3 linked regions of the Drosophila melanogaster genome follow. The protein of the gene in region 3 interacts with the protein of the main gene of each other region in a pairwise test. Each region holds a gene or a part of one and is shown on either strand. Other genes may lie near its edges. The genes, in order: CG14104, CG46385 and Usp10.

The links.
Region 1: the proteins of Usp10 (region 3) and CG14104 interact in a two-hybrid assay, tested with the Drosophila melanogaster proteins (one large-scale study listed by BioGRID).
Region 2: the proteins of Usp10 (region 3) and CG46385 interact in a two-hybrid assay, tested with the Drosophila melanogaster proteins (one large-scale study listed by BioGRID).

Annotation. Positions count from the first base shown.
Region 1 is NT_037436.4:19,806,187-19,808,964, forward strand, and holds CG14104 (uncharacterized protein), read right to left. Parts: upstream 1,014-2,778; 5' UTR 961-1,013; coding exon 754-960; 3' UTR 625-753; downstream 1-624. Other genes in the region: Ccdc58 (Coiled-coil domain-containing 58), read left to right, coding at 16-51, 120-266, 324-446, 500-604; Kap-alpha1 (karyopherin alpha1), read left to right, coding at 1,751-1,951, 2,014-2,498, 2,558-2,778.
Region 2 is NT_033778.4:7,780,466-7,784,225, forward strand, and holds the start of CG46385 (uncharacterized protein), read right to left. Parts: upstream 2,173-3,760; 5' UTR 1,262-2,172; intron 1-1,261.
Region 3 is NT_037436.4:871,352-875,111, forward strand, and holds the start of Usp10 (ubiquitin specific protease 10), read left to right. Parts: upstream 1-1,559; 5' UTR 1,560-1,628; intron 1,629-1,956; 5' UTR 1,957-2,068; coding exon 2,069-2,524; intron 2,525-2,639; coding exon 2,640-3,530; intron 3,531-3,598; coding exon 3,599-3,760.

The sequences.
Region 1 (2,778 bases), about 19 Mb from region 3:
TCCTACCTGGTTTAAATGGCGGCATTGTGCTTAGACTTTCTCGGCTTCCAGGTGGGGGTTGGAATATTGTTGTTTGGGTTAGTAGCCGGCATACTAAATGGCTTTAAGTTTCCAAACAGGAGGCACTGAAGAAGATGCGAGATGTGGACGACAAGATTATATATGCACTAAATGCCCTGCCAACGGAGTCGTTTAAGGGTCAAGTGAACAGTGAAAGCACCTGTCGCGATCTGTACGCGAAGCTCCAGGAGTCACACTTGGCCAGGGTAAATCCTGATTAAGTACAACACACGGGGATCTTGACAGATAGCTTCTCCTTGCAGCAAGAAAGCATACGCAGTTGCATAACAATTTCGGCTAGTAATCTGAAGAAGCTAAGGGAAAAGCGGGAGACCCAGCCGGATGATGTGGATACGGATAACCAGTTTAGGGCGGAGCAGCGCAAGGTAACCGAAATACCTAAGTCTTACTCTTAACTGATGCCTATGATCCTTTCCAGCTGCGGGTTCTCCAGGCCGAGCTCAATGTCGAGGACATCATTAAAGATCGTTCCTACAAGACCTTCAATGAACGATGCCGGTCCTATTTTCATGCTGGCCAATAGGTGGAACAAATGCAATGACTAGTTTTAGGTGGATTTATTAGCAGAAGTCTCATGGAACTGCCAAGCCAGAAGGCATTTACATGCACTCCGTTGTATTACAAGTTGTTTACAACAAGTACATAAATATAACAGTCTAAAAAGCACAAACTTTATTCGTCGCGGGGCAGGTTGTATGTAGCGTAAACCGATCCGACGGGTACGCATTTTAGGTTGGCCAAGGCTTCCAGGACGCGCTGGGTGGCATCCTTTAGGTCGTTGTACTCGTGCAGCAGTTCAATGATCTTCTTTTTCTGACCCTCTGACGTTTCATTTGTCTTATTGGCCGTTTTGCGCGACTTTTTCTTATTTTCTTTCATGTTTAAATTAAATGCAATTGGATTGGAATTACTGCTATCGGTTGATATCGCTATCGATAGCGCGTCAGCTGTGTGCATTGCATTTTGACAGTCCGGCATCCCCGTTCCTCACAACGTGTAAAATCTCCCGTCCCCTTGCATGATTAAGACGAGAAAAGGATTCTCCGGAACAGGTAAATTGTGTTCTAATTACGTATCTGAAGGCGCCTCTTCTAACCAGGAGTTGTGGTGGCTCAAAGAAGGGCGTAACCGGAGACCAGCGAATGGCTCATGCTGGCTGACCTAAGCCCGCACCTATACGCACAAACGCAAAGCAGCCGTGTGTGCACATATGTACATACACGTACAATGAAATGTGAAAGTGTTGTGATTGTGCATTTTGCCAGGAAAACTGAATAGTTCATTAAATGTGAACCTATTATATGTAAATTATTCGCCTGACAACGTAATCTTTATGTTTCCGGAAATGTAAAATTAGCCTAGAGCAGGCGCTAAGCGAATGTTCAGTGGTTACAGGGCGTAATAATCCTGGTGGGAGTGGATGAGAACATTGGGGAACACCTAGTGATGATTATAAACGTTCAATTCAACTAGTTCGCATTCCACGACGACCTCTACCTATATTTTCTAGATTATTTGCACTTTCGTTTAGCATTTGATCACAGTAGCGGCGAAAATCAAGTCGCACTCACTTTTTATCTGAAACCTGTCTTTACGACTTAAATTATTCTGTTCTCAAAGAAATATTTTTTTTAACTATTTCAAGCTTTTGAATTGCCAAGACGACGAAATGTCTGCCAGCCACAAACAGCGTTATAAAAATGCCGCCTTGGACTCCACAGAGATGCGTCGTCGTCGCGAGGAGGTGGGCATCCAGTTGCGAAAAAACAAACGCGAACAGCAGCTCTTTAAGCGACGCAATGTGGTTCTTGAGCCGGCTACATCCTCAACATCAGCCGGAGTGGAGAGCAACACCGATAACGAACAGCAGGTATATTTTGATCAAGTTTGGCCTGATAGCATAGTCTTAACTATCTCTCCATTCCAATGCAGGCTGCCGACATGCACATGGCTGACAGCAGCACTGGCGGTCAAAACGAGGAAGCTGCTGGAAGCGGGGCACAGCCATCCGTAATCAACGAGGAAATGATTCAAATGCTCTTCAGTGGACGTGAAAACGAACAGCTTGAGGCGACTCAAAAGTTCCGCAAACTGCTGTCCCGCGATCCCAATCCTCCCATTGAGGAAGTCATCCAGAAGGGGATAGTGCCACAGTTTGTCACCTTTTTGCGAAATAGCGCAAATGCCACGCTGCAGTTCGAGGCCGCCTGGACGCTAACGAACATCGCATCGGGCACCTCGCAACAGACCAAGGTGGTTATCGAGGCCGGGGCAGTGCCTATCTTCATTGATTTGCTCTCCAGTCCCCATGATGATGTTCAGGAACAGGCCGTGTGGGCCCTAGGCAACATAGCCGGTGACTCACCCATGTGTCGAGACCATTTGCTCGGCTCCGGCATTCTAGAGCCTCTCCTGCAGTAAGTTATAAATAATTATATTGATAAGATTGCGCCAAAGTAGGTGTGACTTCTTGCAGTGTATTGAGCAACTCGGATCGCATTACCATGATACGGAATGCGGTGTGGACACTTTCAAACTTGTGCCGCGGCAAAAGCCCTCCCGCAGACTTTGCCAAAATTAGCCATGGTCTACCAATACTGGCACGGTTGCTGAAGTACACTGATGCGGATGTACTAAGCGATACTTGCTGGGCCATAGGCTACCTGTCAGATGGTCCCAATGATAAAATCCAGGCTG
Region 2 (3,760 bases), on a different chromosome or scaffold from region 3:
TGCTTTATTTTTTCCCCTTGCTCTTCCTTTCGACACCGAGTCGCCGAGTAAATGTGTGATGATTGCTAAACTGACCACAAGATCAATAACTTTGACTCCCCATAAACTGCTAAGATTGCTCATTAAACTCTTTAAAAGTGCGCGAAATCCGTCTAAATATTTTATACTCTTTAAATCGCCTTAAGTTCAAAATTCGCTAGCATCTACTGAAGTTTATCAGTAGCAATAGGATATGGATATATGTAAGTATGTAAATTGTATGTACAAATGGGTCAGAACCAATCCAATGAATTTATGAGAATAGTTACGATACCCTCTGTAAGGGTATAGAAATAAAACAGTTCTCGGGCTACTCTTATTGTTATTTACCAGACTTTATGACTCAATCGCAATGAGAGAAATTCAAACTGATCTCTTTCAAATCAGTTAAGTGCTTTTCCAGAATTATCGAACACTAACCGTTCTTGAACCCAAAAGTGATGGATGAACGTAAGAACGACGATAATTATTCTTGTCTAACGAGCTAACATATTAGTTTTTGTGTCAAATAAATACTAATAACAACATTTGGGGTTCCCACGTGCGTTAAATTGCATTGTTATTGAACTTTTGCCCACAGCAAGTGTTCTACGAAGTTTATTTATTCAAGAGAGTACAAACGTTTTATATTTAAATGTAAGAAAAAGATTGATTAAATTGTTTATTTTAAGAACAACAAAAATGCACCAAATATACAAATTGATGTTTCATCTTTAAATGCAAAATTTTGGTTTCGAATTCTAGTTTTAAGTTATTTTTTTTGCATTAAGTATGTATGTACATATGTACTCAAAATATGTACTGCAATGAAAATATAGGAAACCAAACCACTTTGAGAGGATTTCGGGTTGAATAATATCTGAAGGTGTTTTCATCTACATATTGTACATACATACATATCTACACCGACAAAAAATAGCGAAACCGGAAATGCCAGATGCCAAGACTAACCGAGACCCAAAAGTGATGAGCAGGGGGGTGGAAGGGGAAGATGGAGGGAAAGGTGTATGCTGTGGTGTGTGCCTAGATTGTTATCCGCATTTCTGGTTTGCTTTTCATTATAGGCAGAACAGAATACAACACCATGCGGCACGATGCGATCTGCGAATACCCCGGACCCTGAGAATCGGCGCTGCAGTCACGTAGACCCACTAATTGAGCGAGATCAATAACGGTGATTGTGTGTGCACCTATATGCATATATATGTACGAATGTATTTACCTGAACAATTCGGACAGCTCGTGCCTAGTCGCGCATTATCCAAAATTACGCAGAACGGCTTCGGGTTCCGCCGCCGGGTGCTCCTTCTTCGTAGGGTTAAAACCGAACAGAATCCTAGCTAAAGTGGGGCACGGATTGCTGAATTTCCAAAGTATCGCTATCGGCGGTGGTCTATCGGTATCGGTATGCTAACGACGACGGGCAGCAGGGTGTGGGGGGAGTTTACCGTTCCGGCGAACCGCTGGCAGAGCGCCTTAAACTAAAGTCGAAGGGCGGGCCAGGATGGCGATCGGTGAATCCGGTATTCGGTTTTGATTTTGGATTACTACGGCAAGGTAACAAGCCAAAACTTTCGGTTTTCTCTGCGCACAGATTCTGACAGCTTACACCCCAATTGCTCGGTTACCGTTACTTTTCGTCTTACGATACCGTTGCACTGCACACACTGAGGGACACTTACGCACAAACACAAACACACGCGTTCGCTCACTCAACTTCCAACTTTGTGATTTGCGATTTTCGATTTGGAATTTGATTTTTGATTTGGAATTATTTCAATTTCACTTTTTCGCTCGCCTGTTGCCGTATTTGCTTCGTTGCTTTCGGACCACGCGTTTCGATCGTTTCGTTTTGCGGAAGCTTGCCCAAAAGCTTCGAGAATGTGGTTTTTCGATTTAACAGCAAAAAGGGCTGAACAAAGTTGCACTTGCACCTGCCTAAAAAGAGCGATATTCCGGTTGGATTATGGGAATTTTTAGTTTGTGCAAGTTTAACTGAACTCCTGGTGAGTTGCTAAAGTCAATATTCTGTCTAACGGCTGCTCTGCGTTCGATCGGATCTCGGTGGGCACTGTACAGCTCCCTGTGTTTGGTCTACTTGAGTGTCGAACATGTGACGAGCAACTGATGGCGCTGGCCTGCTCCATTGGTCCGCCGGCCAGGCGAAGACGCGCGACGGCGGCAGCGGTACAGTGGGTACAGTAAGGCCTGCCTAAAAGTACTTTCACTTAGAAAGGGCACTCATTGAAATCACTGGCCATTTGTTTTAAATAAAAAGTGGCTAAAACACATACATATGTATATTTTTATTTCACAGCTATTGGGTTCAGAAAAATAAGAGTTATTATTCGATTCCATTAATAGGTTAATTTTCAACGTTCTTAAAGTCTAATCTCTATTAACGTTCGATACATTTTACGCTAGTTGAATACAAAACCATAAACAAGACATTCGGCACCGTTCATTGTATAATTAACATTAGTAAATAATGGTTTGTCACTATCTGGAAGTTTCTAGAGTTTAAATACGTTTTCATACCTTAAGTTTTATGTACACGCCATTTTGTAAGAGGATTATGTACGTGATTAACTGCATATCATATAAATCTTATTCTCGTCGACGTTCCACTGTAGTGAGTGTGGGCAAAGCGGAGGCGCCGACAATTCTAGAGAGTGCCATCGAAAAGTTCGCGAAACGGAATTAGCAACAACAATTAAGTCGGAAATGAGCAGCTCGCTGTCTCTCTCGCTCTCTGACCATACTAAGCTCCCCCTCTTTAAATACTCGAAACCATCCATGTCTTTCTACCTTCGGCGAAGAAAAGCTTTTAGAGCTTTTGAGTAGTAGGTCCAGCCGGAATGTCCAACGTTTGGTCAGGTCTCGCATCTGCAAGGTAGAGAAAAAAGAATGAAATATAATTTGAAACTATATAAATTCTAGTTCCAAAAACCCACCTCCACATAATTGTACATGGCCAGGTCGCAAATGGCGAAGGCGTCCTGCCAGCGGGATTCGGTGAACAGGGCCAACGTCTCGTCCAGTGGCAGCTGCTTGGCCAAAATGTCGGTGAGCAGCGTGACATCCTCCATTCCAGCATTCATACCCTGGCCGTAGTACGGAACCATCGCATGGGCGGCATCGCCCAGGATCAGTGCCTTATCCGCATAATGATACGGCCGGCACTTGATGGACACCAGAAACTGTGGCCTGGTCTTGAAGAAGTCCTTTATGAGCTGTTGCTCTCCAATCAGTGGCAGTGCGTCCCGGAAGTTCAGCTTAAAGAATTCCAGGAGATCGTTTTGATTCTGAATGCCAGCGAAGATCTCAAAGGGCATGGACAGCGTGACCGTGAAAGACTTATCCTGATTCGGCAGGGCAATCATCATGAAGGTGTTACGCGGCCATATGTGCAGATAGTTGGCAGGCATCTGGAAGTCTCCCGATTTCGAGGGTATGCAGAGCTCCAGATACCCCGTTTCTATGTACTCCTGGGAGTAGTTGAAGCCCGGCAAACGGACCAAGTGCTGGCGCACACTACTGAAGGCACCATCGCAGCCGACTATAAGATCAGCATGGGCAGCTACGGCTTCCTTGGCGGGATTGCGGAACTCCATGGATCCCTCTCGCAGATTGGCACTTGTCAGCTTGTGCTCGAAGTGGCAGCGTATATTGGGCAGCTTATCGCAGGCATTCAAAAGGACTTCGTTCAGCTGTCGACGTC
Region 3 (3,760 bases):
TAGTAAAGACTGATTAGGCAAATTGATTTACAAAATTGGTCAATGGCGAATGGAAAACTAGTCAATGAAAAGCAATCGGAACACGGATTAAGTTCGATGCACATATATAATTAGTTGTACGCTCTCAGTGTTAATCCCCACATTACAGCATTATATGTACCTATACGATTATATATCTGAGTGTTTATTTGTAATCCATGCAATTACAATGTTTCTCGTTCCATAATAGATGTTGAAAATCCCACAGCAATCCGAAAATTCAAAATGCCCGAGTTGGTTTAAATGGAAGGCCGAACACGAATCTCTGTTGATGTGCAGCGAATTTTTGTATAATTGTTCATTGCATGTTTAATATTGCATAAATAAAAACAAACAATGTGTGTCTAATAATAGTCTTGGTGTTTTGTATTGTCGAATACGTCCGAAATAGGTTTTAATAACATAGTCAAGCATTCAAATTACCCGCCAATTTTCCACAGCGTTGCCATCGGTTGCAGGCGGGTGGCCACCCTGGCCATCGATAGCACGCGCCGACGATTATCGCACTGTCATCGAATTGCGACAACCCTGGGAGCAGGAAGGTTTTTCGGCCGAAAAATAGAGAACAATAAAACGTTTGTGGCCCTCAGCAATATAGGGATCGCCGAGTGCCGTGTTAACCGGTGACCTCTCGCCCGTGCCCCGAGACCTGTGACCCCGCGCAACTGCCCGCCTCAATGTTAATTTGTGGCAGCAAAAGCAGCAGAATTTGGAGCAGCAGCGTGTAAAAAGTTGCGGAATTATCGTGGCACCGCGGAGAAAGAGAGAGCAGGAGAGAGATTGCCGCACGCATAAAATATGATCAAATTGCAAAATTGATTTCAATTGGCCACTCAACAAAAGGTACGTTCGATACACCCGCCCCGGCGCCCACGAAATTAGCACAATAATAACACCAAACACCTGGCTCCTCCATTTACATAAAACTCGGAAGAAGTAAACCTGGCAACTAGTAGGGAATCGTGGACTTTTTGCTTCCAGCGAACGTTATTTTCCCATTTCTTCCATTTGCCCTGCCTCTCCGTGTGTGCATGTGTGCGTGTGTGTGAGTGCGTGCATGTGCTGGTGTATGTGTGTTGTGTTCGGCAGAGATGAGTAATTTAAAACTCCCAAAGAACAGCAATGAATGTCTGTCAAATGCAGGTAGTTTTCAAGATGAACGACCAGCTTCCATGCCGAAGTCATTTCACTTTCCATGACCAACTTCTAATCTAGAAAAACCCATTAAAAGAGCCCTTTGAACCTGTTACATTCGTGACCGATATTTACGTGAGCCGGCAAATCGTCGCAATTACTCATCTCTAGCGGGCGCCGTGTGGCACCAAAAAATCGTCCAGAAAATGTCCAGAAATGCAATGGGCAGCAGTTAGTTTTGTTTGATAAATATGCATTTATAATGCGTCTACATTTGAGATAATTCCCGTGTAAGCCTTATTTAAATTATGCGTCTCTTTTGCTTTGTTTATTTGATTTTCTCATTACACCGTCTCATCACAGCTGTGCGGCCTTGCCAGATCGCTTTTCTGGCTGCGGCACGCGGAGTGGCGTGAATTGAAAATCGCATTTAATTAGAATTTAACCTGCGTCGGGTAAAATATAATGAATTTGTGCGCTCCAGCTGCATAAGCTAGTGTTAGAATTGAAGTTACTTTATTGATGTGATATATTTAAACGTGCGGCTCAAGATTTGTAGAATCAGCCATAGTATTCAACAGTTGGTCTTGTCAATAGAAATTGTTTTGAATCATTACCCTCATGCCCCCATACTTTATATTAATAAATTTAATTAGGGGACTCTAATAAATGGTGTATTCTTCTTTCGACTGCGTGCATAATTAATATTGATTGCCCAGTCTTATATAATTATCTCCTTAATGTACTAATTAATCAATTGCTATGCGCTCTCTTTCCGATCAGCAAAAACCAATTTCAATGTTTGGCGCCTGCTGCGACTCTTGAGACTCGTCTAAATCCGCAAGTACATTCAACCGGAATTTGAGCCAAGTTTCTAACCTTTGGCCTCAAAGCCATGGCATCCACGTCGTCGTCGGCTTCCACGACGGCGGGATCCTCCGGCGCGGCAGGCGGAGGAGCAGCCACGCCCATCTCAACGCCCTCGACGCCCCAGCCGTCTGGCGTGAGCAGCGGACCCGGCAATAATGGCAACAACAACAACAACCATCACAACAACACCCTGGTCTCACCATCCGGGAACAACAACTTGATGACGCCCGTCCAGGCATTCACTCCAACCGGACAGCCAGTGTACAATCCACCCGTCTATATGTCCGCCCACGGAGGACACCCGCACGCCGGAGCCCACTACCCGGCCATGATCCCCGCTCCGATGCCCAGCAATCACGTCTATGTGAACAACGTCACTGCCAATGTGAACCTGCATGGCTGGCCGCACGGTGTTCCGGCTTATATGCCACCCGGAGGTCAGCATCACTACATTGGACACGGCGACATGCCCCAGGAGCAGGTGGGTGAAACAGAACAGGATCTATATACATCTGTTCGATAATTTCGCTAATTACTAAGCATTGTTACTAGCTAGCACCTACATTACTGACCTTCTTACTTGTTATTCCACACAGGGCAACACGGTGATGCCGCACCTGCAGCCTGTGCCCATTAATTTGGCGCCCCAGGGCGGATCTCCGAATCCCCATGGTCCTAGAATGGGTGGCGGACGGATGCGCGAACGAGGTCGTCCCCGTGGCGGTGGACCGCGACGCAATGACTACCATGGGCCACGTCACCTCCAGCAGCAGCAACTGATCACCCTTCCGCCGCAGCAGCAACTGCCACCGCCGGACGGAGCCAATCCCGGGCTGCAGCTTCAGCCGGATCAGATTGGTCAGCAGTTGGCGCCGCCGGAGGCGCACATGCAGCACTTACAGCAGTACTACGCGGCGCCACCAACCTACGCCTACGGGCCATATCCCTCTCCCTACTTCACACCCCAACATGCCAATGTGCAGCCTCCCCCCAATGCCACTGCTGCCCAACAGGCAACTGGAACGCCGCTCTTCATCTCCGGACCGCTGATGTATAATCCTGCGTGGTTCAACCACGGTGGGTACATCTACCCCATGATGCATCCGGCTGAGTACCAGTATGTACCCGAAGACGCTGGCCAGCCGGGAGTGGATGAACGTGGAGCTCAGCCGGACGGCGGAATGACCCAGATCTGGCACCAGGGCCCCATGTACGCAGAGGACTTCGAAGCGCTACAGCAGCAGCAACAACAGCAACAGGTGGCTGTGCATCCCAATGGAGGTGCTGTCAGTGTAGCCGATGAGCTCAACCACAATAGCTCATCCCTGCCCTCCTCGGAGACGTCGAGCATGATCAGTCCAAACTATCCCATCTACGATCCACAGATGCACGAAATGCAGCACCAAATGGGCGTGATGCAGATATTCGACGATGGTCAGATGGCCGCCCTGCAGCCAATCCATCCAGGAGCGGGTCCGCTACCGCAGGTAAGTGGGCCTGGCATACCGTGAAGCTAAAGACAATGGCAATACTAAACATTTCTTATCGTTAATAGTACGAGGACGAGCTAGCCGAGTGCGGAGCACCGCCACCAGGCCCTATTCCGGTGGCCTGGACTGCTGCCATGCCCCTCCCTCCGGATGCAGTCCAGCCAGCTCTGCTGCCGCCACCGCCGCATCACATTTTGCAGCAAACGTCGCCCCTGTTAATCGAACAG